Oryzias latipes: one gene and its partners. The protein of the gene in region 5 interacts with the protein of the main gene of each other region in a pairwise test. Links are inferred from orthologs where the notes say so. Each region holds a gene or a part of one and is shown on either strand. Other genes may lie near its edges. The genes, in order: rab4a, beta-taxilin, edrf1, ras-related protein Rab-4B and exoc5.

What was found.
Region 1: the proteins of exoc5 (region 5) and rab4a interact in binary tests that used the Homo sapiens proteins (3 or more experiments, as listed by UniProt). The two-hybrid records come from large-scale screens. The link is inferred for Oryzias latipes from reciprocal best matches to the Homo sapiens genes EXOC5 and RAB4A.
Region 2: the proteins of exoc5 (region 5) and beta-taxilin interact in binary tests that used the Homo sapiens proteins (3 or more experiments, as listed by UniProt). The two-hybrid records come from large-scale screens. The link is inferred for Oryzias latipes from reciprocal best matches to the Homo sapiens genes EXOC5 and TXLNB.
Region 3: the proteins of exoc5 (region 5) and edrf1 interact in binary tests that used the Homo sapiens proteins (3 or more experiments, as listed by UniProt). The two-hybrid records come from large-scale screens. The link is inferred for Oryzias latipes from reciprocal best matches to the Homo sapiens genes EXOC5 and EDRF1.
Region 4: the proteins of exoc5 (region 5) and ras-related protein Rab-4B interact in binary tests that used the Homo sapiens proteins (3 or more experiments, as listed by UniProt). The two-hybrid records come from large-scale screens. The link is inferred for Oryzias latipes from reciprocal best matches to the Homo sapiens genes EXOC5 and RAB4B.

Annotation. Positions count from the first base shown.
Region 1 is NC_019861.2:24,495,976-24,503,206, reverse strand, and holds rab4a (ras-related protein Rab-4A), read right to left. Parts: upstream 4,181-7,231; 5' UTR 4,047-4,180; coding exon 4,031-4,046; intron 3,420-4,030; coding exon 3,339-3,419; intron 2,491-3,338; coding exon 2,376-2,490; intron 2,189-2,375; coding exon 2,126-2,188; intron 2,047-2,125; coding exon 1,892-2,046; intron 1,726-1,891; coding exon 1,630-1,725; intron 1,414-1,629; coding exon 1,298-1,413; 3' UTR 1,269-1,297; intron 737-1,268; 3' UTR 724-736; downstream 1-723. Other genes in the region: phf10 (PHD finger protein 10), read left to right, coding at 4,551-4,625, 5,983-6,092, 6,201-6,331, 6,451-6,534, 6,630-6,754, 6,846-6,995, 7,097-7,206. UniProt on the Homo sapiens protein: The small GTPases Rab are key regulators of intracellular membrane trafficking, from the formation of transport vesicles to their fusion with membranes.
Region 2 is NC_019880.2:1,118,404-1,125,339, forward strand, and holds the start of beta-taxilin, read left to right. Parts: upstream 1-2,465; 5' UTR 2,466-2,480; coding exon 2,481-2,678; intron 2,679-4,327; coding exon 4,328-4,375; intron 4,376-5,291; coding exon 5,292-5,565; intron 5,566-6,908; coding exon 6,909-6,936. UniProt on the Homo sapiens protein: Promotes motor nerve regeneration. May be involved in intracellular vesicle traffic.
Region 3 is NC_019873.2:19,103,930-19,110,389, reverse strand, and holds part of edrf1 (erythroid differentiation-related factor 1), read right to left. Parts: intron 6,378-6,460; coding exon 6,233-6,377; intron 6,060-6,232; coding exon 5,958-6,059; intron 5,362-5,957; coding exon 5,240-5,361; intron 5,111-5,239; coding exon 4,999-5,110; intron 3,929-4,998; coding exon 3,781-3,928; intron 3,680-3,780; coding exon 3,568-3,679; intron 3,395-3,567; coding exon 3,283-3,394; intron 3,201-3,282; coding exon 2,916-3,200; intron 2,077-2,915; coding exon 2,005-2,076; intron 1,884-2,004; coding exon 1,748-1,883; intron 1,665-1,747; coding exon 1,470-1,664; intron 1,382-1,469; coding exon 1,130-1,381; intron 983-1,129; coding exon 764-982; intron 660-763; coding exon 433-659; intron 348-432; coding exon 189-347; intron 1-188. UniProt on the Homo sapiens protein: Transcription factor involved in erythroid differentiation. Involved in transcriptional activation of the globin gene.
Region 4 is NC_019871.2:14,614,155-14,619,348, reverse strand, and holds part of ras-related protein Rab-4B, read right to left. Parts: intron 3,633-5,194; coding exon 3,552-3,632; intron 3,323-3,551; coding exon 3,208-3,322; intron 3,080-3,207; coding exon 3,017-3,079; intron 1,645-3,016; coding exon 1,490-1,644; intron 1,378-1,489; coding exon 1,282-1,377; intron 904-1,281; coding exon 788-903; 3' UTR 728-787; intron 653-727; 3' UTR 1-652. UniProt on the Homo sapiens protein: The small GTPases Rab are key regulators of intracellular membrane trafficking, from the formation of transport vesicles to their fusion with membranes.
Region 5 is NC_019880.2:12,936,900-12,942,993, reverse strand, and holds the end of exoc5 (exocyst complex component 5), read left to right. Parts: intron 1-57; coding exon 58-198; intron 199-277; coding exon 278-360; intron 361-452; coding exon 453-662; intron 663-922; coding exon 923-1,070; intron 1,071-1,151; coding exon 1,152-1,260; intron 1,261-1,514; coding exon 1,515-1,635; intron 1,636-1,761; coding exon 1,762-1,848; intron 1,849-1,952; coding exon 1,953-2,061; intron 2,062-2,167; coding exon 2,168-2,383; intron 2,384-2,741; coding exon 2,742-2,930; 3' UTR 2,931-3,926; downstream 3,927-6,094. UniProt on the Homo sapiens protein: Component of the exocyst complex involved in the docking of exocytic vesicles with fusion sites on the plasma membrane.

The DNA of each region.
Region 1 (7,231 bases), on a different chromosome or scaffold from region 5:
GCTTGAAAAGCATGCATCGGTCACAGCAGCACTGTACAACATTCTGCAGGGAGAAGAGGAAGTGGATGAGGACTATAAACAAATTAGGGTTAGCTTAGCTGATGAAATGTGCTTCCATAGCTGCACAGTGTGGAGTGAGAAGCTTCACTTGGGTAAAGAAGAGCAGGTGCGCGATAAACAAGGAGTGCTATTAGTTGGGAAAAAAATGGAATTTTAGTAATTTGGGTGATTTATTTCATGCTTAAAAATAGGGAGATTATCTTTTATTTAATGAACTTTGCACCAAACCATAGCAAGTGCTAGTAGTGTCAAAAGTATGTGTTTGAAAACTGTCAACTTTTTATTTTAATTGAACTACCTTGAATTGAACTACCTTTACTTTAAATATGATTGACAGGAACCGTCTTTATGAATAGATAGAGGAAAGTCTAACAGGCTTGGAGAGCAGGTGACAAGCAGGGAGCTACGTCTGAGGAGAAACCTTCTCGCCACAGAGCCAGAGAGATTTTGGTCCAGCTTTAAATTATGTTTCTGTTTTTGAAGATGAGTGTGGTCTTCTGGGTTCCTTAGCTGGGGGCGGGGTCTTCACAGCTCTCCGCACATGCAAAAATGACAACAGATGCTCTGAAGGGTCCGTGCAAAAGTTGGAGGAAGGTGGAGTAACCGGCACGGCAAGCCCCCCGCATCTGCATTCGTGGAGGTTCTATGTGGCTGCTCTTCTTCTGGTCTTCACAAACTTGTTTCCAAAAACAAAACAAAATCAAACGTGGAGAAAAAGACACACAAACATACTATAGTAAATAGCATTGCAGGAAGAATTACACTGAGGTGCATCAACACTTTTTGCAAAGTTGATATTCAACATAACCTACAACTATTGTTTCAGAAAAACAAACTGCAGACTAACTGTAACTGGTTGCCTAAATCCAAGTTCATGTCAATAAATGGTCCGATCCATTTTTTTTCTCTGAATACAGCTCTGTACTGATCCAGTAGATAACAGCTGTCAATGAAAACATAGTGCAGATTTTAATACTGTTTTAGGATTTGATATACATAGTAAGATAAATGTCATCAGTCCTGGTTTTCTTGCATAAATTTCATCCTAATATTTATCTATTTTCTCTGACTGTGTAATTCTGTGCTATACTGAGCACAACTGTCATAACCACAGGAGGCGATCGGCTCCCTTTCCGTACCTGAAAATTAACTCCAAAAAAAATGTCAGAGGTCCGAGACACTCTGGGATCCCACAGCAACACGTTTACCTTCAAAGGGCTATGTAACAGGACGTCCACTAGCAGCCACATTCCTGGGTGCCCTGCGGCTGAGCACGGCGAGGAGAACGAAGCTGGCGTAACGCAGCGTCCCCATATTGGATTCCTGACCCCATCCTCTCTGGATCTAGCTCTCCTAAGAGTAGAGAAATGGTGCTGATTAATAGAGATAAAGAGAAAACAACCTACAGAGGTTTCATCCCCACTACAGACTTTTGGACCAGCTGGTCCAACACTCCAGACTAGCTCACTGAAGCCCTGAGCTCCACCTGAGCTTGGACTATCCCATTAGGATAAGAAGGGATTTGGAAATTGTGTTTAACAAATGTGGGCAAAGATTAGAACTCCTCACCTGACTCTATTTTATTCAGGATTTTCCGGGCACACTGGACAAAGGCTTCTTCAACATTCTCTCCTGTGAGAGCGCTGGTCTCCAGGAACATTAACTCTGCCACAAACACAGAGTAAGGATGAGAGCAGCCGCTATGAAAACCGCTGATGATTATTCCACACTAATGGCCAGTCAGTGCTAAACAGTAAACCATTGAGTAATTACGTATAATGAAAGTTAACTGTATAGTTTTTAGCTAAGGATTATAAACTTAAGATCGAACCATTTTCCTGAGCGAAGCGTGACGCCTCCAGAAACGTGACCTCTCTGTCAGCATCTAGATCCTTTTTGTTCCCACACAGGATAATTACAATGTTTTGACTGGCCAGCATCCTAGCATCACTTAACCACGTGGTTAAGGCGTTGTAGGTTTCTCGACTGAAGCCACAAAAACAACAAAACAAATGGTTAAGCAGTCAAAGTATACATAATAAAAGAATAACGCACCTCGTCTTACCTGGTGATATCATAGACCAGCAAAGCTCCTGCTGCTCCTCTGTAGTAGCTCCTGGTGACGGACCTGACAAACATATACTGGTTAAAGGGAACATTGTTGACACTTAAGCAAATGCATACCAAATCCATTTAGTAATTATTGCCAATTTAAGACAGAAATGGAAAAAAAAAAGTTGTAGCTGTGCACCGCCGACATCTCTAAAAACGCAACATCCACAATGTAGAAGGAATTTTTAAAGATGTTTAGCTACCTGAAACGTTCTTGACCTGCAGTGTCCCAAATCTGAAGTTTGACCATTTTGTTCACCACACTAATAATCTTGGAGCCAAACTCCACTCCAATTGTGTGGTTGGACTCATCTTTGACTGGAAAATCATAAATATCACATGTAAGTCATATATTTTCAACACCTTAAAATGACCTACTGTTTACAAAAATAAAATGCCCTTTTTTAATCTGATAAAGATTGTGACTGCTTTGCTAAAATCTGTTTAAAAAATAAGAGTCAAACTAAAAATATTCATCAAGATTTGCTTAAAGTCCCACTCCGATCATCTTTTGAACTATTGTAAAAGCGTTTTCAGTAGTTTTTAAATAATGTTTATGCTGTTTTAGCCAAAATTGAAAAAAGCAAACAAACTCTTGTTGTGTTGGACATAGTATCTGCAGAGCGGCAGTAGGTTATTAAAAAATGAATCTTTGAGTTGTGGACGGGACTGGGACCTTTCCCATCTTCCTTTTGTTTACACTCCTCTAGCTTACAGCCCCTCACACCCCCTCAACATTAGTGGTGCAACAAAAATGGCGAGCAATATTAGAGCTATTCAGCTGTACAGTTTTAAGCTAGATGTTAGCTCACACGAGGAAAATGAAGACGTTCATGGATCTATTTGTTTACAAGTGGATGCATCGGATTGAAGCGGAGCAGGGAGCTTGTAGCTCGCCATAGTAGCTTCTATGTCACATCTACAAGCAACTGGTCCTGAATCACAGTGATTTGAATAAAGAAATACTCAGAGATGCAATTTTAGGCTTAATTTTTACATAAATGTCCATTATAATGAGAACAAAATGTCACAAAAATATGTTAAAAACACACAAATAACGACTGTCTTTGAGTGGGACCTTAAAGATATTTAAATAAAAGAGTCGGGCAATTACTGTGTCATTATTATAAAGCTTTTTCTAGTGATTACAACTGAAGCAAACTTACATCTCTTTTCTATGAACTGGTGCAGAAGGCAGGATTTGCCTGTTCCAGCATTTCCAATCACTAGGAATTTAAACAGAAAGTCTGCAGAGGGAACACAGTAGTAACATAGATAAAGCAAACAGGGTTTGAATATGCTGCCTTGTTATTAATAAACTCAACTATTCTTAATTTTTTTTTGATACAGTTGTTGACATGTACACATCTGATGTCTACACTATACAAATCAAGACAAATGTGTCGTAAACAGATCGAACAAAGCCTTATATATATATATTTATTCTTTACTCCCACTAAGATAATTATCATGTTTAATGTTGGTTCAATTGATTGAACAGTTGTAGCATAGTGTAATTTGAGCAATGCCTCACAAAACACAGAGATATCCTATCATCACTTGCGTTTGCAAAAGAAAAGCGGGAGTCTCTTGCTTTGTGTCCTAGTGCTTATCCCGGGAACAATAGCATCTCCTATAGTCACAGCTTCTTGCATTATAAAGCTTTACTAATACACCTGTACCCGGAAGGCAGATTTATTAACGCTGACATTTGAGTTTAAAGGCCAAAACCTTCCTACTCCTCAGTGGCTCGGTTAGCCTGCCAGCTAGCTATTTGTTTACGAAGGGACCTCATCATCCCTTTCCTGCCATCTGTGTGTGAGATTCTAACGGGTATAAAGCAAGACAGCCTCCTTACCGTAAGACTCCGACATCCTCGGTGTGTCAGCTAAGCTGCAAGGCAGAGAAAGGCGAAACTGTTATTTGTTTAGCTTGCTAAGTGATGGAAATAGTCCTGTTGGTGATTTCCTTGGATTCTATGATTTCCTCCTCCAACTTCCTGTACGGTGTGTGTGGGTTTTTTTTCTTCAAAATAAAAGCATTCTGAAATGACACTTATGCCACATAGTCCTCAAACTACCGCGTGGGGGTGATGTTTGGATATGTTCTTATGGTTTCAATTAATGAAAAATAAATTCTCGCCGTTCTAAGTAAATTTTAAAAACAGCCCATTTCGCTGAGAGTTTTATCTATATGTAAATTAATTGGTTTGCATGTTGTGTACAAATTCTCTCTTTTTAACATATTTTTTGGAGGATCTAGGAGGTGGCGCTCTGAATTTACACAAACGTCAACCGAGTCCGTGGTTGTCCAAAGAAGAAGAAACGTAGTTTCCCCCGCTAATCATTAGCCTAGCTGTGGGCATTATTTATCTTAAAATGGCTACATTATTCCCTATTATTAGACCACCAAGTGATAGCAGTCCCGCTACTCCTGGGGCGCACTCCATGAAGGTGATTTTTTTCTACTTTGATAAATATCCATTAGCTGTTGTTTACGGGGAAACATGACGATGTTTTGCTAACAGATAGCTAGCTAGCCAACGGACGTTTCCATTCACTAGGACAACTGTCAGCCACTTTTAGCAAAATCATTTGTTTTCAAATGTGCTCAAATTACTTCCTCTTGAAGTAATTTGCTCCTATTATTCGTGTATTTCTCTATTAGTTTGCAACGTTGAAAAAATATATAAATAAAAAAAAACTAGATTGTGTAGCCATTTAAATATAAAGTGTTGCTAATTTTTTCCCTGTGTAATCCTAGTCAAACTAGTTTTGCACATGTTCCCATTTTCACAATAATACGGAGCCCCTAAAGGGCCATTGATGAAAAAAAAAAAAACTTGAGGAAATTTTTTTTTTTTGAAGTAAAAAAAAATTCTTTGAGCTAAAAATTTTTTTTTTGAAGTAAATAGGAAAAAAAACTAACTGGTGCGCACCAGTTAGTTTCAGGTGCGCACCAGTTAGTATCAGGTGCGCACCAGTTAGTTTCAGGTGCGCACCAGTTAGTATCAGAAGATATCAGATAGTTGACCTGCTTGCTCATTGTGCACCAAGTAGCTACAGTTGTCTTGAGAATGGCTAAAGTTGAGGATATGGACCTTATAAACTTTCTGAAAACACGAAATATTACTGACAATGTCATAATGTCACCTGAAACTAATTGGTGCGCAGCTGAAACTAACTGGTGGGCACCTGATACTAACTGGTGCGCACCTGAAACTAACTGGTGGGCACCTGATACTAACTGGTGCGCACCTGAAACTAACTGGTGCGCACCTGAAACTAACTGGTGCGCACCTGATACTAACTGGTGCGCACCTGATACTAACTGGTGCGCACCTGAAACTAACTGGTGCGCACCTGATACTAACTGGTGCGCACCTGATACTAACTGGTGCGCACCTGATACTAACTGGTGCGCACCTGATACTAACTGGTGCGCACCTGATACTAACTGGTGCGCACCTGATACTAACTGGTGCGCACCTGAAACTAACTGGTGCGCACCTGATACTAACTGGTGTGCACCTGAAACTAACTAACTGGTGCGCACCAGTTAGTTTCAGGTGGGCACCAGTTAGTTTTTTTTTTCCTATTTACTTCAAAAAAAATTTTTTTTACTCCAAAAGAATTTTTTTTACTCCAAGAGAATTTTTTTTTACTTCAAAAAAAAAATTTTTTCCTCCATTTTTTTTTTTTCATCAATGGCCCTTTAGGGGCTCCGTACAATAAGCTTTTCGATTCTATATATTTTGGTGTTCATCTGTTTGAAAAAAAATGTTGGTGAATCTTTTTTCCACTTCTGTAGGAAGATGTAATTGATGAGGTATCTAATGATGGGAGCCAGCCACCGAAAAGGAGGAGAATGGGTTCAGGGGACAGCTCTCGGAGCTGTGACACCTTCAGCCAAGAGCTTGGGTAGGCTACTTGTTTTTGCATTACAATTTGCCATTATTCTTAAGTAATTGCGTCAGATACCAACTTATAAATCTAATGTGTTGTTCCTGCCCCCACCTCCTCATCTAGGGTGACTTATTTCCCAGCAGAAAACCTAATAGAGTATAAATGGCCTCCTGATGATACAGGAGAATATTACATGCTGCAAGAACAAATCAGCGAGTATTTGGGTGTCACGTCATTCAAACGCAAATATCCTGGTAAGAATTGAACAATAATTCACAAAATGATCAGGAAAGGAAATGTTTAAGTGCGGTTGATTTAGCAACTGCCCAAATTATGTTTTGACCAGGGAATTTTTTTTAACATTCTTGTGCAGATATGGAGAGGAGAGACCTGTCTCACAAAGAAAAGCTCTACCTACGTGAGCAAAATGTTATCACTGAGACGCAGTGCACCCTGGGTACGAGCCAACCCTAAAACTCTTTGTTAATGCACAGACTTCATACATTTATTTATATTTCTTACATAATGTAGTGCTGTTGTATTTATATGCAGGATTGACAGCTTTGCGGAGCGATGAAGTGATCGACTTGATGATAAAGGAGTATCCAACCAAACACTCTGAGTACTCTGTGATATTGCAGGAAAAGGAGCGTCAGAGAATAGCTAAGGAGTACTCTGTAAGAACACCAGACTAGAACAACCTTTAGTTTTTATTAGAAATTGTCGAAACGCACGAACAAATAGTTGTACTCTCTTGTGCTTTTGCAGCAAATGCAGCAGCAGAACCCTCAGAAAGTGGAGGCAAGCAAGGTTCCTGAGTACATAAAGAAAGCTGCAAAAAAAGCTGCTGAGTTTAACAGCATCTTCAACAGGGAGCGAATGGAAGAGAGGAGAGCTTACTTTGACCTCCAGACTCACGTAAGTCTAATGGCAGATGGTTTAATAAATCTGCATCAGTGCAACGTTGGTTGAGCTTTTGACTGATGCAACTCCTTTTTGTCCTCTGCTTTTTGTCTCAGGTTATTCAGGTGCCCCAGGGAAGGTTCAAAGTTCTTGCTCCAGAACTAACCAGAACAGGACCCTACCCTGTTGCTCTTATCCCAGGTCAATTCCAAGATTACTATAAAAGGTACGTTCCATAACTGTTAGCTCTT
Region 2 (6,936 bases), about 12 Mb from region 5:
ACAATTACATCATCACTAAACGTCATCGTAATTGAGTTTTAAAGTCACGTGGTTTGTTTGCACCAGTTCAGGACAGGTTCAGGAAGAATGAAGATCATCGAGTAAACTCTATTAATATTGGTGAATGCATGCAAAGTGCGTTCAAAATGGGCTTCCAAAGGGTCCAAATTATATTTGGTATTTGGATAAATGGCTGTTAGTAACTGGTGAAAAAAAAGACTAACTATGCGCATCCGTTCGTTTTTTGTTTTGTTTTTTTACTTTATGATATTGTGAGGAACTTGAATGCTGCAAAGTCTTGGTGTTGCACCTTAATCTAACGATCCTCGATCTGAGCTGTAAATTCTCGTTGAAGATCGTTGACAGACGTTCATTCTTCACTGAAAGGACGAAGCCCAGATGATCACAGAGAGCTGCGTCCAAGAATATTTCATTTACGTGATTTAGATTAGGACGATGCATATGAGTCAACGTTTTAGCAGGTCTGATGGTTTGGTGCCATGTCATCTGCTGCTGTTGGTCCACCGGGGTCTCCGTAGTCCACAGAGATTCCACAGAACTTCCCGCTTCTCTGTGCCGATAAGCTGCAAGGTGATGGTAGTTTTATTTTCCAGCAGGACTCGGTCCCTACCATGTGCCAAAAGCGGCGTCCGTCGGTGACCAACACGAAGTTCCTGAGCGTCACTGACCAGAAAACTCATCTGACCGGAACCTGATAGAAAATCTGCAAAGAAGATGAACGACCTGAAGACAGACAACGCAGGCGACCTGAAGACAGACAACGCAGACGACCTGAAGACAGACAACGCAGACGACCTGAAGACAGACAACGCAGACGACCAGAAGACAGACAACGCAGACGACCTGAAGACAGACAACGCAGACGACCTGAAGACAGACAACGCAGACGACCTGAAGACAGACAACGCAGACGACCTGAAGACAGACAACGCAGACGACCTGAAGACAGACAACGCAGACGACCAGAAGACAGACAACGCAGACGACCTGAAGACAGACAACGCAGACGACCTGAAGACAGACAACGCAGACGACCTGAAGACAGACAACGCAGACGACCTGAAGACAGACAACGCAGACGACCTGAAGACAGACAACGCAGACGACCTGAAGACAGACAACGCAGACGACCTGAAGACAGACAACGCAGACGACCTGAAGACAGACAACGCAGACGACCTGAAGACAGACAACGCAGACGACCTGAAGACAGACAACGCAGACGACCTGAAGACAGACAACGCAGACGACCTGAAGACAGACAACGCAGACGACCTGAAGACAGACAACGCAGACGACCTGAAGACAGACAACGCAGACGACCTGAAGACAGACAACGCAGACGACCTGAAGACAGACAACGCAGACGACCAGAAGACAGACAACGCAGACGACCTGAAGACAGACAACGCAGACGACCTGAAGACAGACAACGCAGACGACCTGAAGACAGACAACGCAGACGACCTGAAGACAGACAACGCAGACGACCTGAAGACAGACAACGCAGACGACCTGAAGACAGACAACGCAGACGACCTGAAGACAGACAACGCAGACGACCTGAAGACAGACAACGCAGACGACCTGAAGACAGACAACGCAGACGACCTGAAGACAGACAACGCAGACGACCTGAAGACAGACAACGCAGACGACCAGAAGACAGACAACGCAGACGACCTGAAGACAGACAACGCAGACGACCTGAAGACAGACAACGCAGACGACCTGAAGACAGACAACGCAGACGACCTGAAGACAGACAACGCAGACGACCTGAAGACAGACAACGCAGACGACCTGAAGACAGACAACGCAGACGACCTGAAGACAGACAACGCAGACGACCAGAAGACAGACAACGCAGACGACCTGAAGACAGACAACGCAGACGACCTGAAGACAAACAACGCAGACGACCTGAAGACAGACAACGCAGACGACCTGAAGACAGACAATGTAAAAACTTATGGAGGAACCTGGACTGCTCCAGCTCAGCAGCTCCACACGCTGACGGTGGTCTCCAAACCACAGAGCATTGATGCAGAAACTCAAACCAAACGTTGAGGACATGGAAAGGATCCGTTTTCAGAGGACTGACCTTTAGCTGAACACATCCTGATCTGAAATGTTTCCATCTATGCGTGATGATTCTAAATCATATATATATATTCAGCGATATGACATGATTTTATTTGGAAATCACCTCCATTTAATTGAAGGTTAAAAAAAGAAGGCGTGAAAAGTGGGGCGAAGTCCTTCCAGGGACGACTTCACGTGTGAATTTATCTCTGCCGTCATCACAGCAGCAGGAAGAATAAATGAACGCTTCTAAGAATAGCGCTCACCTTGTGAAACTGCATTCTGGGTTTATTTGTCAGCATCAGCTCCTGCGTTTATACGGCGAGGAGCAGCAACGCTGTGGCAGCGGCGGCGCAGAGCAGACCAGGCTTTGCATGAACCAGTTTAGAGGAAAACCTTCTGAGCCGTGGGGGAGCTCTGACCCTGCAGCAGAGCGTCCTGCCTCTCCCTGTCAGACTGAGCCCCCTCCCTGGTTTATTTTGAGGAGGTCTTATCACAGCTGTTGGGTCTGTGGTGGCAGGTCGTCCGAGCCCCTCGACACGCTGCCTATTCCCCTCCGGCCTTTGGTCCTGGTAAGACCGTGTCTTCTCACTGTCCTGCTTCTCAGCAGGCCTTTGCACTGAAATAACCATGAAAAATAACCACGAAAAAGCCTCTGCTGGAAATAATCCGCTCATTAACATACTAACAAGTGTTGCACGCAACCTAGCAGCTGTTTGAGAGGCTGTTAACCGCAGTGAGAAATCCATCCCTGCTCCGTCGAGTCTTTGTCAAGTCTCTGTTTGAACGCGTTCCTCAGTCAAAATGCTGAATTTACAGCAGATCCTTCACAGAACTGAGCTGCTGCTGCTGGACCTCTCTGTTATTTGAGCTAGATAGAGACCAGAGAGCTGTTGGTGTCACAACCGCCGATTCTGGCTTCACTACGAGGAGATTAGAGAGTAAATAAATAAATAATGCTCCCATATTAAGAAGTTCCTAAAATAGCTAGTGGCTGTGGAACAGGTGCCATGTGCTGCGCTTGTGAAAGCACAGGCAGCGCCAAGGCTGCACTAATTTTATGCTCACAAACAGGATCTGTACAAGACTGACACAAGCTGACAAAATCACAGCCGGCGACGGCAGAACGCACGGCTGTGCTGTGAAAACTCCCATCAAGGCGCTCTTTCTGGGGTTTTTAACACGTTCAGTAGCATTCATGTCATAGTGGAGGACGTTTATAAAAAATTAAATGAAAAAAGATCTTAAAGCCGCATTTCTTTATCCAAATCAATGCAGATCAGGAGCAGCTGAAAAAAAGCTGTTATCGTGTCTGTGATGTAGAAAATACGCCCGGTGGGCCACGACCTCCTAGCTCCTCCCCTTTCTGATCATCCACCTGCAGACCAACAGATCTATGAACGTCTCTGTTTTCCTGGTCTGAGCTGGAATCTGGATCAGAACCGGACGGATGGATGGATCTGATGCTGCTCTGACGTTAGGTTGGGGGTTGTGAGGGGCTGTAAGCTAGAGGGAGTGTTTGTAAACAGATGGATGATGGGAGAAGGGGGTAGGATTACTCTGTGCCAATTGTACCACCAACAGCTTCGAGGGGATTTTTGGATTTTGGCTAAAAACTGCATCATCCTCGTTAAAAGACCACTTTTAGAAACAGACCTAAACATGGAGACCTACCCCAAAGATGGACGAACTGAGCGGGACACAAGGATACCCACCTGCCAATCAACCCCCCCACACACACTTTATGAAACTTTAAACTAAAGCAAAAGTTAAACAGCTAATAAATACACCACCATCCTCTGCAACGAACATAAAAAACTGTAGACATAATAGATAAGCTACCAGCTGAGCAGAAGTTAGTTTTCTTACCTTTTTATGGTCAAAACCTCTGAAAGCTGCCTCCATTGCTGTTAAGAGGATCTCGTCCTGGTTGGTAATAAATACGGAAACAGAATGAGGAAGCTTTCTAGTGAAACGAGAAAGACGCCGTTACATCACCATAACATCAGCAGCTTTCACCCTAAACCAGTTTCTGAATAAAACCCAGTTATCTTTTGACTGTGGTCTCAGTCTGTCTGCTGTTCTCACCAAACGCATCATGAAGCGCACAAACGCAGCTGATCGGTCTTCTCCAGTGCCTGATCCTTAGATTGATCGTCCACTTCAAGATTCTGTTTGGAAACCTCTGAATAATCCTTGATCTCTGTTTGTTTTTGTCCAGAGAAACATCTTCAGTCTTTTTCTCCACTTCTCCTTCAAGTCCACCAAGGTAGGCTGGAAACTACCGGGAACGGTTCTGGAGAAGCTTCTCCCTCTCTGTTGGAGCTCCGCCATCCGCTGCACTGAAAACAATGAACAAAACAGACTTCCCTGCTGCTCTTCAAGAGTTCTTACATTCATTGTAGTATTATTGTGTGCGCTGCTCCTTAGTGTACGGTGTCAAAATAACCCCCTGTAGGATGACAGACGTTTAAGGCTGTAGAACTCCTCACTTCACGTTATCCCCGTGTCTCAGACAGGCAGGAACATCTTCACACTTTTCTCTTTTTTGTCTAAACCCCTAAAAGTTCCAACCTTGATAAAAAACAACATCCAAGATTTATAAAATGAGAATGCGGGTAAAGATTTATGTAGATCCGGTAGAACAAATGCATTTGTCGAAGAGATTGATGGACAACAGCCAATCAGGACGCAGAACATAGGTGGGCCCTCCATGTTTGCCCCCATTAGCTTAAGTGGACACCCGGTTTTCACGCTCCTTACTTCTTTTTCTAAACGCAAATATGACGTCACCGATTTCACTAAGTAAAAACCTAATCAATGCAAATATTTGGCAAAGACATTTTACGAATCAATGATGATGAAAACTTGGATGGTTTATAAAAGCGTTTTTAAATCCTTTTTTTGTACAAAAATTGTTCAAACGCAATGCATTATGGTCTATGGTTGGCAATCATCGATGCACACTGGTTTTTTGCAGACTTTGGGGAAATTTCAGATACTAGATTTTTGTAGATTCTGACCACGTAGTGAAATTCTGACCCACGTTTTTGTTTCTGCCGCCTCACGGCTGCTTAAAATGAGAATCACCGTTTGTTTACCCGTTAAAAACAGAAGACCGGTGTTCGCTGTGCTCCAGCTGTTGCTAAGGACAGTTCTAATGGCGGCCTTGCGCTCCTCCGCAGAGCCAGCTGTCGTCCTTGTTTCGGTACCAGCTTGTCGTAATGGAGGCTTGTCAGGAGAGCTGCTCCGCCCCCGTGGGTCCCAATGCCACGCCGGCCCAGGATCACCACATTGACCTGACAGAGGACCTCGGCCAACAGCTGGAGGACATCATTAGCACCTACCAGGCAGCCCAGATTCCAGCTGAGCCAGAGGATGCAGAGGAGGTCACCGCCGCCAAAGAGGCAGACGGCCGCAAGGACCAGAAACTGGAGAAGAAAATGCTGAAAAATCTAGGTGTTTTCTTCGTCGTGTTGGATTCAGCCTATTTGACTAAAGAAATGCTGTTAGTGCAGTGTGTGTGTAGGTGGAATAGTATTTGCTAAAAGGAAGACTACATCCTCTGCTTTAATTCTCACCATTTGGTTCTAAAAGGTTCTAACGGTCAGAACCAGGTCAAAGAGCAAACTTCCATCCATACCTTCATTTTCTACACTGGCTACTTCCTGTTTAGTTGCTGGTCTGTCCAGCTGCTATCGGGTTCACCCGGTCAGTTCGCCGGTCCACCACAGCGCCGCCAAAACACCCGCCGTGTAAAGATTCTGTTTTCTGAAGGAATTTCCGTTCAATGGGCTGAACTTGAAGTTCAAACGTTAATGGTTGACCTCACAGAAGCTTTAGGGAGCTTCGGGTCCAGAACAGGCCCAGATAACCAGACTTCCACCACTGTGCTTAACAGTTGTCTGGAGGTTTTTCCGTTTAACGATCTCCTAGTCCAGTTTTTTGTCATTGACAGAGCTGTGAATTATGACCAAACATCTCCATGGTTCACATCCTGGTCAGATATTGTTTTGGACCTCAGCACCACCATATGAGCCGCTGTTAGGTGGTCCACTTCAGTCCCAAGAGCTCTACAGACCAGAGCAGACCGAACCAGACTTTACCTGCATTTTCCCGCCTTTTAACCCTTGTGCTATCTTATGGGGTCCAGATGACCCCACCCTTACATTGACGTGTTCTCCCTACCATAACAAAGGTGGAGAGGATTTCATGGACACCAGTGAAGATCACAAATCATTGAAGAAAAAAGGTTCAGTGCACTGTCTAGTGGGTCTAGATGACCCAACTCCCATCGTTAACGTGCCTCGGACAGCACAAGGGTTAAACCAAGTCTGCCCCTCTCTTAGGGGGATGGAGACCTCAACGGAATTGGAATAGAGACGAAAAGGTTAATCTCACATAACTCATGTTCTGCGAGTGTCGCGCCAGAGTCACGCGTTTGCAATTAAGGAACCGCAACTCCATTTGAGTTTATGTATCCTTGGCGCAACAGCGAGCTCCCGTGATTTTAAGTAGAAACTGAAACCAACGTTTGTATTTCCAACTTGCAGCAGTTGAAATAGAAGTTTTTTTATCAGAACAACACTGCTCTGGTCTGTAGAGCTCTCGGGACTGAAGTGGACCACCTAACAGCGGTTCATATGGTGGTGCTGAGGTCAACGGAGGTACTTGGAGTTTGAGATGTTCCTCTGAGTCAAATAAACCCAGGACAGTTGACAAATGTCCTCCTCTCTTCCACTGCAGAATGATTCTCCTGGTGTTGTTGGGTCAAATAACCCTAACATTGTGTGTTTGTTCAGGGAAGGAAGCCATGCTGCTCATGCAGAG
Region 3 (6,460 bases), on a different chromosome or scaffold from region 5:
TGTATTACTAAATGGTCAAAATAAGATTCAATATTTAAATAATCTCAAGTGGGTTTGAAAAAGCTTTTGCTTCTTAAAAGCTCATTTTATACCATCTATCTTAGTTTATAGTGGTAGTTGTATGATTTCTGCGTGTAAATGTTGTTTTTTATTAGAACTACATAAGTCAGAGAAGTGGTGTAACCCACCTGCTCCTGGGCCTTTCTGGATAACGGGGCAAAGTCTTGCAGAAGTGTAGCCAGAGTGAAATATGTGGTGGAAAGCTCCCAGTTCACACTGTCCCAGACTGCAGGGTGAGTCTCCCTGCTTCCCAGTGACCTCATGGCACTCAGGTAATAGTCAATAGCCTGAAATACCAAAAGCATATTTAAACAAACTGTCCGAGTGGAAAAATGTGTTGGATATTAGGTGAAAAGGAGATGAACATGGCACCTTGTTGTAGTAAAGCGCCTCTTCTGGAGAGAACTCTCCTCTGCTCTCGTCGGCCAAAGTGGTGCAGTGAGCCTGAGCACAGATTCTCATCAAGCGGCCCGTGTTGCACAGCAACAGCGCCGTGTTGGTTTTGTCCCTGATGGCCTCAAAGTCACCGATTCCTTTCTCGAAGAAGGAAAAACTCTTCTTCCACAACTCCTGCTCAGTTGTTGACACCGGCTTTTTCACTAAGAGAGGGGAAATAATGATTATATTCCAGATCTTTGTGATTGTTATGCGGTTTTCCGTCTAGTAAAAAGGTATTATGAATTAAAAGAAACAAAAAAAGTACCCTCTTTGTCCGTTTGCAAGGCTGCAGCTTGATTCATGTAGAAGACTCCCATCTCGTTGCGGATGTTTCCCAGCCTTTTGAGGAGCTGGGGCAGCTGATCAGAGTTATCATCTCTCAGGGCCTCAGAGATGAGCAGCTCGTGCGCTGCCTCGTAGCATTTGCTGCTCACAAACAGCTGGTACTCCGGGTCCATGGCCAGGTCAGTCACCATGTTAAAGGCTAGAGGATGGAAAAGATACAAATTTGAATCCAAAAGGAATTTAAAAAAAAAAAAAAACTTTCAAGGATCATATCTCACAGTACTTTTGTAGCAAAGCTTTTAAGAGGTTTGCTTTAACCGTAACTGAAAAAAAAGATAAAGCACACCAGCAGTGGAAAAGGGCCTCCATGTCAACACATCACTGTGTAGTGACTGACCCTGGCAGCTGCTCTCTCTGTGCAGGCTGTGCAGGATTTCCTGATCGTCTTTAGTCTGATAGCTGTACTCCTCCAGGTAAGCCGCTCGGTTGTTGGCGTTCTGGGCCAGCATCAGCTGGATGTCGCCGCACAGAGACAGGCACTGACTGTGGAACTGCAGAACCTGTGGGCTTAGGGTTCCATTCACTGAGCAGTAAGCATCTGGGCCAAAAATCAAAGACAGAATCCGTTTTTTAGTTTATAAAACTTTAAATAATTAACATAATGATGCTAAACAGGATGGCCTCACCATAGCACTGCATGGATAGCTTGATGTAGCGCAGGGCTCTGCCGTACTTCAGCAGGTTAGTGGCCGCGTCGGACAGGACATAGTAGGCCTTGGAAGCTTTGAGGAACAGCTGCATCTTCATGTGGTACTGCCAGGAGCCGGGGATCATCCCTGAGCGCGTCGGGTGCTTCTGGTCTGCCTGCACAGGCCCCGCTGCTTCAGCAAAAACATGCATCAAAACCAAGAGTGTCCGCTTTGATTTAGTGAGGCATGGCATGAAGCACTGAAAGTAGACTGACCTCGTTCAAGCAGAAGGGAAATCCCTTTCTCTGCAGCAGAGGCTCCGTCCTCGTATTTGAGGGGAATGGGTGTGTTTGGATCTGCAGCAGGGAGATCGCTTTCTTTTTTGATGCTGCCGTCCACCGCCTTCAACCCCTGTGAGTCCCAGCACAGACATTTATTTGAATTTCCATCCCTGCAGAGCTCTTTCAAAAAGCGTCTCCTGTCATCCTGAAGAAGAGACTTATTTGACGAGACACGTGTTTGAAGAACTTGCCAGCAGCACGTAGCTCAGGATGTGTCTGCACCGCTCCTCCTTGTCTTGAGAGACGGGGAAAGAACCGCTTGGCTACATAAAAAAAGGAACATAATTATCAGCAACATTTGCTATAAAAATGCCCCGTTTTTACTCCAAACTTTCAGAAAACTAATGCTTTTGTCATGCTGACTCAGGCTTTTCCTAGTGGGGTCAAAGCTATGGCAATTTCAAAATAAGAGCATACAACATTTAAAAGAAAAGAAAAAAATCAATAAAGTGGCAACCATTGACTGTATATGAGAACTGGACTTAGTGACCCCTCTACCCTCATGGTCCAAACAGGAAGAACCTGCTGGTTCCAAGAAGCCAAAAATCCTATAGTCTTCTATAGAGGAATAAATAGCTATTGCTTAATCATTCTATTTGTCAGAATAACCATTCTTGCTCTACTAACTTTTTTATTAACATGTTCTTGCTAATCCAAATTTTTTTATGATATCATAAAAGTATGCAGTCTCACGTTGAACATTTAAAAATGTTCAATTGACAGGTTCTCTTGAGTCAGCTTTCAAATGGTAGATTTGTGGACTTCCAACAAGCTCACTCCTGATTGGTGAGAGTGGTTGCCATAGAAATGATGACTCAGATCGACTCAGACAAATCCCCATTTACTGACGTCGGCTGGTTCCAACATTGTGGCATTTGTAAGATGCGGCCTATGGGTGACATCACACTTACTGGGTCCAGTCCTCATATACAGTCAATGGTGGGAACTGAACATTTTAGTCCCATCCTCTCTTTTATTTGCTGTTCCGAGGAATTCAGAAGATAAAAAAAATAATCTATCTTTAATAAATGAGTGCATTTTCTGTTGAAAATGGCTCCTGAGCGCAACAGTGGAAGAAGGCGAGATTAAAGCGGTCACTCACTCTGATCTGGTGAGTGGATTTGTATTTCTCAGGGACTGACAGTTCCCCAACAGAGCGGATCACGGCCACCGCTTTGCTATCATCCTGAAGCTTGGAGCCGTTACTGAAGGAGCTGTTCTCATCACTGTCCTCTGTGAGATCCTCTTCCTCCTCCTCCTCCACCCTGTCTTCATCGCTGTAACTGTCCTCCGAGCCACCAGCCCTCAAAGACTCCCCTCCATCGTCTTCAGAAGGCTCGTTGAGCTGGAACAGCTCTGACAGCATGTAGTAAGCTGACGCGATGATCTGGGCACCAAAAAAAAAAAAGCTTTAAAGTTGTTGTTTTTTTCATTTTAAACTTAAAGTGTAAAGGTGTACTTTCAGTTACCTGAGGATGTCTCTCCTGATCAAGAAGTTTGATGCAGTTTAGAAGCAGAGTTCTGACTGGGCCATAGTGCTTTCTGTTTTGCCTCGTCTTCAGCATCAGGTTGCTGGCCACCCTGCGCCACACGACCAAAAATGTAACATCATCTCAGACAAAACACAGAACGCTGAGGAAAAATATTCTAAAACATTCATTAGGTCCAACCCAAAGGTTTATTTATCAACTCCATTGAGTTTTTTTTTTTTTTTGGAAACTCAGACGGTCCTGTCAGGAGAAGAAAACACTCACTTGTAGAGCAGCACGGCTACAGGAAGAGTGAAGGGATTCTGGTACTTCTCCTCCTCGGCTTCCTCACACAGAGTGGTCAGATCATAAAGCTTCACGATGTCACTTCCACTCGCTGTTGGTTGAGCAGAGAAACAAAGACATCATCAGGTAGTAAAAACAACACAGAACAACAAGCACCAATCACGTGAAAATGTTTTTTTTTTTGTTTCCAACCTTTGAAAAGCCAGTAAGTGTGCCCCTCTTTGGTGCAGTTGGACTTCAGGAAGGAGAGAATATTCTGGGCGATGTCTTTCACAACTCTTGTGGAAAAAGTGGAATTTTCCAGATGCGGAATGTCCTCTGTTTTAATCATTTCGTATTTCTGGGAGAAAATAACAAGAATTTAAAAAATCATAAAGTATGATTTCAAATTACAAAACAAAATCCCCATAACAGGTCAACAGTAAAGATTTGTAAAAGAAAAAAAACGTGACGTCTTGCCTCGCTATGCCGCAGTTCAACTGTTTGTATGCTTTTTTTTAAAACAGTGCACTGTGTTCTTCGCCCTAATTGGCTGTAGACCATGTCAGTCAACGTCTTTTGTGGCCTGTCGCCTGTTTAGAATACGTTCAGTTTCCCAAATCTACATATCGCAAGCAAAAAATTATTTTCATTCTACGTATTTTCCTATAAAGCTTTGAACTTTGAGAGTTTAAAAAGAGAGATAAGTGTGAAAGTGTTCCTGTCTGAGAAAAGTGAGGAAAGTGTGTAGTAAGGAGATTTACAGCCTTAAACATACATCCTACCCAACGGATTGCACCTATCTCGAGTTATTTTTAGAACGTAACTCCTGTGATGAATGAGGGAACCCTATACAATTCACTTTAAAGCATAATATTACTGGACTATCTGAGACATACAAGATAAATGATCTAGAAGCAGATTTCTTTGCTTGATCAGCTTTTAATTTATTACTAAACCAGCTTAGCTGCCTTGTGATAGAGTGACCATTTATTATAGACGTGACCAAATGTCTCCCCGATTGACATTCAGCATTAAATAAGTTAGATAGTTCCCAAGTGAGGCTGTGACTGCCATCCCCAGGGGATGGGTCAAATTTGGAGGGCATGTTTCACACTTCCAGGTGTGGGACAATTGATAAGACCAGTTTTATGAGCTGTATTTTAATATTTTTGCAGCCATAAGGCACTAGTAGGTGGCACTGATACTACAAAATTCTGTCCTTTCAAATAGAAAGATTAAAAATCGACATGTTTTCTCCTGGTTACAATTTCAACAAATATAATCTCAGAATATTCAAAATGATGTCTCTGCAAAGACATAAGACATCTGTGTGAATTGGAAATATAACAATATTTGCAATTGTTGGTGATTTGGTAGTTTTGAGTGAATAATATAATTAATTAATATAATACAATATTAGAAATTTACCTGAACAATGCCGTTGACATGAAAACACATAACCAGTTCTGGGACATTGCACATCAGGTTGTCCAGCCAGTAGTCAATACCTGTCAAAATGTTGATTGGTTTATTGCTGTCCCTGAAAAACAGACGCTAATGGTTAGTTAAAAGAAAAAAAAAGAAGTTATAAACAGATAAAATTAGAATAAGTATATAATCAATCTGCCTTAAAATTATAGACTTTTTTTAACTGGATGATGATTGAAACCTTAGCTTCAGACTGACAGCGGGGTATCGACCACCTCCAAATATGGGCATGTTGGATCCAACCAGCATGTGGATGTCCTCAAAGGTCCACATGATGTTTCGCACAAAGTCATTCCTTAAACCCTGCAAAGAATGCAAGTCGTCAAAACTTGTACAGAAAGAATTTAACAGTAATCAATATCACAATCTTTGTTTAATTTTTCAACAATCTTCCCCCCATTTTTCCATAAAACACAGTCTTGTACTTTTTTCCAATCAATTCATTTGATAAAAATACGCGAACAATACATCAAATCCAGTATGAAAAGTGTTTAAACATAAGTATATCAGATAGTGCTGATCTTTATAAAATTCAAAGCTTAAATAAACAAAAAACCTCACAAATGTGTTTTCACCTCATATCCTTTGCAACCCTCAGTGGTGCTTCTTATATCTCTTCACTCTTAGGTGACGCTGTGTTGTTCTATTATTATACTCTTCATAGTATTTTATATGCACCTAGTCATAATGATAAGGAATACTGCCACCTTGTGGCCGGAGTAGTCATTTAATATCCTGAGTCGATCAAAGCTAAATGAATGCAAATAACGGTTAAATATTTCTTAAACTTTCCTTTTTATTTCGAAATTATAAACACATTGAATAATCTTTGAAAATAAAAACAATATCCAGCTCTTGTTTGTGGTGAAATTCCAGACATTTGAATAGAACTTTGTTACCTGGCTGTTCTCGCCTTCATTGAAGAGAGCAGGGAGGTTTTGCTCTTTTAATACTGATGTCACCTGGCCCAGAGCAAATTTACTGTCCGCAGAAACACCTTCCTGAGTATCAAAAGGCATCAGTGTGTTCATTATATTTTTGGGCATTATGTAATTGAACTGAAAACAAACTAAAAAAAAAAAAAAAAAAAATTCTTGCCCGCCACAAAAATTCTCACTGTCTGAAAACAGCTTTTTGACCCGACCATACTTATTGAGCTCACTAGTAAAGCTACCTGTTCAGGAATTTCTGATTCTTGAGCATCTGATGGGCTGGTAAAGGTTGCAGGCCACGAGGAGCTGCACTCTTCAGCATTTTTGTCATCATCCCCCTCATTCATGTTGTCTAACACAGGCTCTGCAGCCCCATCACCATTTATGCTGCAGAAACAAAGAAAAACATGTGATTTTTGGACAGATTATGTAACAAGAAACACGCCCTTAAGTAGAACATTGCACCAAAT
Region 4 (5,194 bases), on a different chromosome or scaffold from region 5:
TAAAACTCTTTATATATTCACATATACACTTTGAATGCAAACCAAATAAAAATACAGATTCCAGCCTTTAGAGACAACATCCAGCTGAGGCTCACTTTACATTCAATAGTTAGCAGGTTCAATGTTCAAGAAAACTTTAAAAGGATAAAGGATGTGGTAGATTCTATCATTTTCAATTTCTTTAAGTATACATGTTTCGAAATACAAACGTTTCCACAATCACATTTAATTTTGGGCTCATCATCAGTCATGTCAGGAGACGCTAGATAAGAGTGCTTCAAACAGTGACAGTAGGAATTTACAGACAGAAATGTGCAAGTGCAAAAAGCAAAGTTTCTAAAACCTGAATAAAAAAAGAAATAAAAATCAAAAGGTTGACCAACAGCAGCCCATATGGACCACCGTTGACTCGTCCTTGTCTGGTAAGCAACTGATGAGGACATCACGTCCTTATGTCCCCATCACGCTCACACTGAAGGGATGCTTCATCCTAGATGCAGGGGCAAGATGGCCCCCTCAGGTAAGGAGGCTTAGCGAGGGCCAGGGGCTTGTAGGAGTCTTTGTGACCTCACTCATCCAGGTGATGTAAGGTGAGTGAGACTATAGGGTGAATGGTCACACACACCAAAACACCTGGAGCTGAACTGAAGGACTGAGCAAACAAAAACCAAAAGTTGATGCGAGGCCTGTTTTTGTCTAAGTACTTCAGACAAGAACGCTCACTGACCTGTAGGGGGCGTCCTGTCCGCGTGGGGCTGCAGGCTCAGGTTAAGGCGTGGCCTGACCCCTAGCAGTTACACTGCTGCTTGTTCTGTGTTGTTGTGCCTCTCGGCTGTCGCAGCTGCCTTAGAGACGCGTCTCCATACTGAATCCCTGAACCCATCCTCTCTGGGTCCAGCTCTCCTGCAGAGACCATTGCAGAGAATGGGAAAAACTGTTACCAAAATAAAATACAATAAAACAGATTTTAAAAGAGGGGGCGGGGTAACTCAACACCAACCCACAACTCAAAAGGCGAATTTCTAATGAACTACTGCTGATCTGCAGGAAAACAACTCCGGATTTTGATTTTGGTTAAAAATGAGATAATCGTAATAAAAAGATCAGTGGAAAAGAAAGTTAAAATATGTTAAAAGAGGATTGGAGTGGGACTTCAAGGTATTAAATCTTTTGAATGTAGAACATATTTAAAACTACAATATGGTCCCCAAAACAACATAAATTGTGCAAATACACACACAAACAAAGAGACATGCCTGTTTACCAAAGACTAAAATATACCTGAATCTATCTTGTTGAGGATGGTGCGGGCACACTTCAGGAAACCCTCCTCCACATTTTCGCCTGTCAGTGCACTTGTTTCTAGAAACATCAGTTCTGTGTGGACAGAAAACAACCACATGATGGTCAAAGGGGGACACGACGGATCCAGGAAGTGTAAGACATGTTCAGCGAGGACACACACAATGTTTCTAGACAAATCCGTTACCATTTTCCTGAGCGAAGCGTGAAGCTTCCAGGAAGGTCACCTCTCTGTCTGCATCCAAGTCTTTCTTGTTGCCACACAGAATGATGACGATGTTGGGGCTAGCGAGCGTCCGTGCATCAGTCAGCCAGTTGGACAGGGCGTTATACGTCTCTCGGCTGTAAGACACAGAGATGGACATTTTTGTGAAACAGCTCAGTATGAAGACCAAACCTTGATATCCATGGTAACATGAGGCCAAATGTGTGGGACAGAAGGGTGGAGGCCTGGGCTCTTGATGCTTTACAGCTGCTTTCAATAGCAAGAAAATCTGACGCAATTCCTCCTCCGCACACCGATGGCACAACTCCAGCTCAGTGGGATTGTGGTTCTCATGTTCCCCTCGCCCCACTCCATTGTTCTACATCTTGCCCCCGCTGTTCCTTCCACAGCCTCATCCGTCCACTTCCTGTGCTTTCGCTTTACTTGGCAGTTTTGGTTGATGGACTTGTGCCGTCCAACGCAGAACTGTCCTGCATTGTTCTATAGCTGCTGTCAATCTGTGCTCTGCCCCCGCCCTTTTGCAAAAGCGAAGGCCTTTTTACGATTGCAAACAGCATTACCGGTACATGTCTGTCGAGCTGCATCGGCGTTTCGCTCATAACAGTTTGAGAAATACAGGCCTGCTTCTGGTTTTTCCATCTGACTGCATGAATGCTCACTTCCTGAAATGCAAAGTTCAAGGAGCTAACATAAACATACGATGTCGGTAAGCAGAGACTTAAAATCCCACTTTGATCACATTTTGATCTATTTTCAAAGTGCTCCCTTTGTTCCTTTAAATATCATTATGCCCTTTTTTAGCCAAGAAAAAAAAAAAAAAAAAAAAACACCAGTGTCATTTTCTAGGAAATAGTTTCTGCAGAGCAACAGTAAGTAGTTCATCAGAAATTTGCCTCTGACAAGCCCCTTTACCCTCCCCTGTTGCTGAGAGCTCTCTGTTTACATGCTCTCCCGCTAGCTTACAGCCCCCCACACCCTCAAGCTAACATTACCGGTGCTACAGAACTAGCGAGCAGCGTTGGAGCTATTCAGCCGCACAGTTTTGGGTCAGATGGCTGCTCAGACGAGGAGAACAGAAACATACACGGATCTATTTGTCTACAAGTAGATGCATCAGAATGGAGCAGAGCAGGGAGGCTGTGGCGCGCCCAGCAAATTTTCTTAGTAACAAATTTGATATTTTTTTCAAATAGGATTATATTTTCTCCACCTGATTCACAACAATTTGAATAAAGAAATACTCAGAAATGTAAATTTAATATAAATTTCCTCTATATATGTAAAAGAAAAGACAATTGTCATCAGAGTGGGTCTTAGCAGCTGTTCAATACGCAGCATTTTGTGGTTTTGATGGTGTTTTGAAAACATTTTATCCCTGTCTACTGAAGCAGAAAGTTGGAGAATTGTTTTTTGGTGACATGCGGCTTCACTTGACTGCATAGGATTTGTCTAAAGGTGGTGGGTGAGTGGGAGCAGGGACGGCTGTACCTTGTAATGTCATAGACAAGGAGGGCTCCAGCTGCTCCTCTGTAGTAGCTGCGTGTCACTGAGCTGTGAAGAGAAAGCAGGTCCTCAGCTCATAAGAGACAGCATTAGCACATCACGACAGGAAATACAACTGAGGAGGCCTAGGGGAAGTTAAAAAAATAATAAAAAAAACATCTGCAAGATTGAACTACCGAAATCGCTCCTGTCCAGCAGTATCCCAAATCTGCAGTTTGACCGTTTTCCCACCAACGTTGATTACTCTGGAACCAAACTCTACACCGATGGTGTGGTTGGAGTCCTGTTTGACTGCATGGAGGAACAAACACAACAATTATGAGGAATGCACCGACCTGCCAGAAACAACACCTTCCAAGAACTACGCAATTATCTCTTTTGACCTACAACATGGGGTAATGATGTGCTTGTTTAGAAGTTGAAGCTGTCATCTTTAACCCACAAGATTCTTATGAGCCAAGATGAGCTCAACACTGTCAGTTTAATCATCTGGAAAAATACATAAATAAAACAGACTTACACTTGTTCTCAATGAACTGGTGGAGAAGACAGGATTTTCCCGTCCCAGCACTGCCAATCACAAGAAACTTGAACAGGAAATCTGAAAGTGGAGGAGAGGACGGGGAAAAGTCAGGAGATCTGGGACAAGTCCATACTTTACCAAAAAATCTAGTCTTTAAATTGACTCTTAACCTTATAAAAAAAAAACATTACACCCAACAAAATCACAGAACCTCGCTTAGCAATGTCGTTCTGCTTACAAGTTTTCTGCTTCACAATTCCAAATGTCTAAATGATCAAAACTTTAAATATAATGGCTAACTATTTACTAAATGTGGCTTTGAAAGACTATTTAACAGACTGAACAGCTGCTTTGTTTTCCTTATTAGAAACAGTGGACCTTTGCTCATTCGGCAACAACCCGGCTCTAAAATGACTCAGACCAAAGACATTTGAAGCAGTCCACAGCGCAGACTGTGGTGTTACTGTGTTTACCAGGGAACAGTGTCCTACAGCACACATAAAAGACACGATCAAGGCCATAAAAGAGGAAAGGAAAATAATCAAACTTTTTTGAAACTTTCTTGGTTGCTAGAAATCTATTTTTACCTTTAAAATATAAAATTTCTTTTAATGGGGGAAAAAAAAGGGAGTCTAGCATAAAAAAGGACCACATGGAACTGAAAAGACCTGCTCTAGTTTAGGGAGAACTGAGACTCCAAATAACACATTTCCTCCTACAATCCAAAGACTGCGGTTTAGTTTAACCTTAAACCAAGTGTGCAGAGAAGCCAGCCGGCAAATGATTAGTGACTTGTGTAGATGTTCCCCGTTATCATGGTAACAGCTGGAGAGTTTTCAGCTGCTCACTAAGTCAACTAATGTAGCAGCTAAAAAAAAGACAACAAAAAAAGATTAGATTGCTATTCAGTTTGTTGTGAGGTTTAAATAGAGCTTTTTGGTGCTCTTAGAATCTCCTTTACACTCACAAGCACTAACACAGGTAGAGGTCAAACTGATGACTGCAGGGAAGCGAAGTGACTTCCACTTTCACTGAGACACTGTGAAAGCCACGCTTACAAATCCCACTTACACGGCTGTGACAGCGGAACTGGCGGAATCAAAGGCGAACAGATCGCTTTCAAAAGCTTGCCTTGGCACCACAAGACCTGCCGGTGCCATCAAGCTGTCGATATGTCACAGCAATGGGGGAAAGCCCAGCTGAATTTATGGGAAACGGAAAGACTTTGAGCGGGAAAAAAAACGACGAAACACAAAAAGAAACGAGAATGGCGTTGAGCGACTTCTCCCCCTTTTTGGAGGTAAGCAGCTGCTTGAAATGATGGATACATTTAGAAAACATTTTTTCTAAATGTTTAAACCCCTAGGCGAAAATTTAGCAGACTGAGACAAAGATCAATAAGCTATTACAGCAACCATTAGCCATGGCACTTTTTCCATAAATGCTGCCCGTGTGGATACAGTATCATGCAAGAAATATGAAGAAGAAACATCATGGAAGAAGAACAAGCAGATGGGATATGAATGTGAGAGTGCAACATGAGACGATGAAGCCAGGCCTCTTTCAAAACGTTCCCATCTTGCTTATCTAATAGGCAATGACTTTTTTTTTTTAGACAAACTGCATAAAAATAAAAGAAG
Region 5 (6,094 bases):
CTGCCTTTGACTTGGCTGCTTTAATTGACCCATTTTTTGTTGTTGTTCCTGTCTCAGGGTGCCTACACGAGGAACGATGTGTTTGAAGACACCGCAGCGCTTTGCCAGAGGGTCAACAAGCAGGTGGCCGAGGTCTTCAGCAGTCCAGAGACAGTCATGGCTAAACTCATCCAGAATATCTTTGAAAACAAACTACAGGTATGTTTTCCAGTGATTGAGTTTGGATGTGCCATTACTTAAACATTTGTTGATTTTTGGCTGGCTGTTTATTTTACAGGCGCACGTTAGAGAGAAACTGGATGGAACTCGACAGTCTGATGCAGAACAGTACCTCAAAAACCTCTATGACCTTTACACCAGGTGGTTTTGCTTGTCTTTTTCTAATTTACTTCCTGTATGCTCTATAACTCTAACACTTTTTGTTCTTATCTGTTTCTTTTCTGACCTTTCAGGACCACAGCATTGGCTACCAAGCTAACAGAGTTCAACCTTGGTTCAGACAAGCATACGTTCCTTTCCAAGCTGATAAAAAGCATCTTTTCCTCTTATTTGGAAAGTTACATTGACATGGAAAGGGAATACCTTCGTAATCGAGGTGCCATGATTCTGCAACGATACTATGACTCAAAGAATCACCAGAAACGTGCAATAGGCTCTGGCAGGTACGATTTAGCATAAACGTCATGAAGCATTTCAGAATCAGAAATACTTTATTGATCCCATACGTGGGAAATTTGTTCGTTACCATAACAACTGACAGGAGAAAAGACTAAGAATAATATAATTAATAATATAATTTAAAAAAAAAACAAGAACAAGGAAAATGTGGTATCATTTAAAGAGCCATTTTTGGTCTCAAATAAACGTTAGGGTTTCATACAAAAAGATCAAAATGCTAAACGTTTTTTTGTTTTTACTTTAGTATTCAGGAGCTCAAGGAGCGCATCAGACAGCGCACCAACCTTCCACTGGGCCCCAGCCTTGACACCCATGGAGAGACCTTCCTGTCCCCCGAGCTGGTTGTTAATCTGCTGCAGGAGACTCGGCACGCGTTTGAGAGGTGTCACAGGGTGAGCCTCTTCTCCTTCTGTAACGTGAAGGAACATGTATAAACGCAGACTTTGGTGATTTTTTGTTTTGTTTTATTACAGCTTTCAGATCCATCTGATCTGCCTAAAAATGCCTACTCCATCTTCCTACTGCTGGTTGAACATCTGTGTGTGGACCACATCGACTACGCTCTGGAGATTGGCCTTTCAGGTACTTCTGATGAACCAAATTGTACTCTTAAACTGCTTTCTGAGGGCTCATTCTTCTCACTATTAGGAGCTTCAAAGCAGTAGATTCAGGAAGTTGGGACATTAAATAAAGCATAACCTGAGGATCTCCCACAATAATGAAGAGCTAGAAACATTTTAGAGCTAGAATCTCTTTTTCACTAGCCGATAAGCATTAACATTTAATGATCAATATAGCTTAAGTTTGCGTTTGCTGCATTTTTCCTAAATTTTCAGCGATTCCCTCATCCGATGCCAAGAATGCCAACCTGTACTTCCTGGATGTTGTTCAACAGGCAAACTCCATCTTCCACTTGTTTGACAAGCAGTTTAATGACCAGCTGATGCCTCTTATAAGGTCAGTTGTGGTTAAGAATTATCATCTTTGTTTGTTATGCATACTCAGATTTCAAATTACCTTATTTATTTATTTATTTATTTTTGGGGGGGTTCTTTGAATTAAATTTTCTAAACCTGTCTTCAGTTCATCTCCAAAGCTGGCAGAGTGCTTGCAGAAGAAGAAAGAAGTGATCGAACAGATGGAAGTAAAACTGGACACTGGAATTGACAGGTGATTCTTTTTATTTATTTATTTTTTAAGCCATTGATCAACTTTTTTGTTTTTTATTTTGTTTTTTAACAGAAACCAATAATATATGTTTTTGTTATGCACAGAACACTAAACTGTATGGTGGGGCAAATGAAGCACATCCTGGCAACAGAGCAGAAAAAAACAGATTTCCGGCCCGAGGATGAAAACAATGTCATGATCCAGTACACCACAGTAAGAGATGCTTAGCTCGCACGCAGAACAAACAACGCATTGGATGCAATTCATAAAAATCACTTCCAGACTTTTTCCCAACTAGTTCTTCTCGTTTCCCTGACAGGCCTGCTCAAAGGTCTGCGCATACGTCAGTCGGCAGGTGGAGCACGTGCGCAAGTCCATGGATGGGAAAAACGTGGACACGGTGCTGACGGAGTTGGGGGTTCGGTTTCATCGACTCATTCACGAGCATCTACAGCAGTTCAGCTACAGCTCAATGGGCGGCATGCTGGCCATCTGTGACGTGGCTGAATACCGCAGATGCGCCAAGAATTTCAGGGTAATCTGTGACAAAAGGTCAATGTGTCTTTTGTGACTGACTGCATAAACTCTTTCTGTTATACTAATAATTATACCTAATTATTACTTTCACCATCATTTTGGTATGATGATTTCACAGCTGCTTCCTTGATTAAAAAAAAGTAAGATTGATCTGAATGCCTGATTGTTTTCATTTTGATTGTTAATTTCTTTTTTAAATGAAGCAATGAATTTTTGTTGAAACCATAATTCATATTGAGAACATCATACTTAATAATAAATGGATGAATTACCTATCAAGGTTTCTTGTCATAAGAGCATTGTTCCCCTGCCTCTTTCTGAAGTGATAAGCCGTTTTATTTCTTTCTGTTCACAAGGTCCCTCTGGTGCTTCAGCTCTTTGACACACTCCACGCCCTCTGTAATCTCCTGGTGGTTGCTCCTGACAACCTGAAGCAAGTTTGCTCAGGTGAGCATCTCACCAATCTGGACCGGAACCTCCTGCATGCTTTTGTCCAGCTCCGAGTGGACTACCGTTCTGCCAGACTGGGCCGACACTTCAGTTAATGACCGGAGAGCTCACTACTCCACAGACGGATCTGTGATTTGATGAGGGATACGCCTTTAAGATGCCCCATTGCCCTTTGGATGCGTCAGTGTGGGGCCAGCAGAAAGACTATGCTGGCAAAAAATTAAGATCTTGAATGTGGGAAATGTGCATTTCATTGAGTTTTCCACCTGATCGGGTAACGTTTAAATCCCTCATTAACTTCCTTTTTTTTTTTTAATACTAATCTAAATGTATAAGGCCTTTGATATAGGCAAATGGACAATATATATATATTTCTCTGCTTACTTCAAAAATTTTTTTGCTTGTGCCAAAAAATAAATAATTAAGTTTTGCAGCTGCACTGGTGCAGAAGAATTGGCCGTGGAGCTGCTTCAAAGGGAGACTATCAACAATCAGGCTGCGAAGTCGGACTCAGCTCTGCAGTTGCACTACATTTTAGAAACAGTTACTCTTTGTGATGACTCGCTGGAGAAAGGACAGACAGTCTAAGCTAAGTTAGACACATATCTGTCTAAGAGAAACACATGACCACCTCTGCACCTTTTGACCCTTGACCACAAAGAGGAGGTTAAGAGGCCATCACAGAGAAGTATGACCTGAGCGGCAGAGCGGTCTAAGAGCCTCTCTGGAGGTTTGGGTGGTCCTCTTTTGGCCGGGATGATTGGTGTGATGGGTCAGTGATTGTCTGTCACTGTAATTGCACAGATCAACACTTGCTCATCCAGTGGTGCGCAAAGTCCAAAGACGTTGTTGATTTGATCTGCAGTGTTTCTGGGTCAGGGGACGCCGAAATGCTGACCTCTGGTGATTAAAGAAACAAACTAGAAGGGATTTCTTCACACAGGGCTTACTGAAGGTTCTCATTAATTATCCTTTGCACAAGAAAGGGAAGATAATGCCCCCGATGCCTGAAATGATTCCCAACACAAAGCTGCTTTCACTGTACTGCTGTTTACTTTAATTAGTTACTCAATAAAAAAAGTTACATTTTATTATTGTCCATCTCTGAGTCTTTTTCTTATTTTTGCTGTGAGTGAAGAGTTTTCTGTGCAGATGTTTTCTCTGCAGATGTCACTTTCAAAGTGAGATGAAACAGCCTTTCTTTTTTCTGGAAGTCATCAAGTATTCATAGGAATTCTTGCCACCAGAGTAAAGTTATTTCTTAGACTTCAGGAAGTGAGCAGAGCCAGAGGGGATTAGATATCTACGAGTTGATGAATTGTGTGCTGTAGTCATGAACTGGGGAGAACCAGGGAGATAGAGACGGCTGAGAGCTCCGTTCCATTCCCGGCTGGCTAGTGTTGTGTAGAGGGTACACACTGTGCTGTGCGAGTTCAAACAACATAATTAATTAGGCTAATATTAATATTATCAATGCCACATAAATTCAATTCTCTCCAGCCTAATCGCAGCTGGATAGCTTGTAAAAATTATTTTGTTAGGCCCTGATGCAAACAGTGGGTCTTTTCCAAACATTTGAAAACTATTTGTTTTTGTGCTGATTAATGTGGGGGGGTGCGGGGAGGGGCTGGGGGGAGCTGAGCCAGGCCAGACACGATAACCAGTGTGGAGACGATGGCAGCGGCATAGCCTGGCCCCAGGGAGTCCCTACACAGGCACATGAAAAAGGGGGAATTCTATATGGGGGGTTTATTGTGGGTTGTTTTTTTTTTTCTTTGCATGGTGAGTGTTTGAGCAGGTGCAGGGGATTAACAATACTGTCAAAGTGGAGAGCTGGATAGGACTGTCCTCTCTAATGCTTCAGTTTGAGCAGCCCTCACACGTTCACTCATGTTAGGATTGGAGAAAGGACACGCCGGAGTCGTTCCTAAAGAAGTTTCTCCGTTTTTGATTTTTCGTTTCAAAGTCATACCTGAGGTGAGGTCAAACGGGTCCAATATCTGACAAGATCATCTCCACGGGTGCAATAACTCCCTTTCCCAATGATTTAGTTCAAATCTTGATTTTTGGATCATGGTTTGGTTCTGGTCCACTGTATGATCTTACAAAACAACAACAAATAAATAAATAAATGTTTAAAAAAATAATTTTTAAAATGTACTAATAAATGGTAAAAGCGGTAAATGGCATACACTTATATAGCACTTTAAAACATTCTTAGAAGGCCCCAAGCATTTTACAGCCAGTTCCATTTACACACACACATTCACACAATGCAATAAAAAAAAATCTTTCAGTTGGCCTATGCTAAACCTGGTTTAATGTAATTAAACAATTTTAGTTTAGTATGACACGCGTTTGACACTTTCTATTTAAACAAATGCAACAAGGATGCAACGATTCACTTTCCCCACGATTTGGTCTAGTGATCAGAGAAGTTTCAGAGATTTCTCTTGTGTTTTCTTAAAATGCATATTTACATGCGTTTCATTAATATCTGCTAGAACTGTTAGATAATTCAATTAAACCAACTTTATCATTCTCCAAGGAGCAGTTTAGAAAGTGCATTGAAGCAGAATGGAAGACGTTGTAGGTCACCAAAAAGAGCTAAACAAAAAGATGGATACAGGGATAGATAGAAATACATACAGTGCCTTTGCAAAAGTATTTGGTCCCCTTGAACTTTTCAACCTTTTGCCACATTTCAGGCTTCAAACATAAGACATAAAACTGTAATTGTTTGTAAAGAATCAACAATAAGTGGGACACAATCCTGATGTGGAACAAAATTTATTGGATATTTCAAACTTGTTTAACAAATAAAAAACTGAAATATTAGGCGTGCAAAATTACATTAGTGCAGCAAACTCTCTCCAGATGTTCAATAAGGATCTGAATGATCCAATGTTGGCCTACATGACTAATAATGATAATTACAATCCACTTGTATGTAATCAAGTCTCCTTATAAATGCACCTGCTCTGTGATAGACTCAGAGGTCTGTTTAAAGCGCAGGCAGGTTTGAGATACTGTTGTGGAGAAGTTTAAAGCTAGATTTGGAAACAAAAAGATTTCCCAAGCTTTTAACATGCCAAGGAGCACCGAGCAAGCGATAAAATTGAAATGGAAGGAGTAACAGACCACTGCAAATCTACAAAGACCTGGCCGTCTGTCTAAACTCTCAGCTCAAACAAGGAGAAGACTGATCAGATATGCAGCCAAGAGGCCCATGATGACTCTTGATGAACTGCAGAGATCC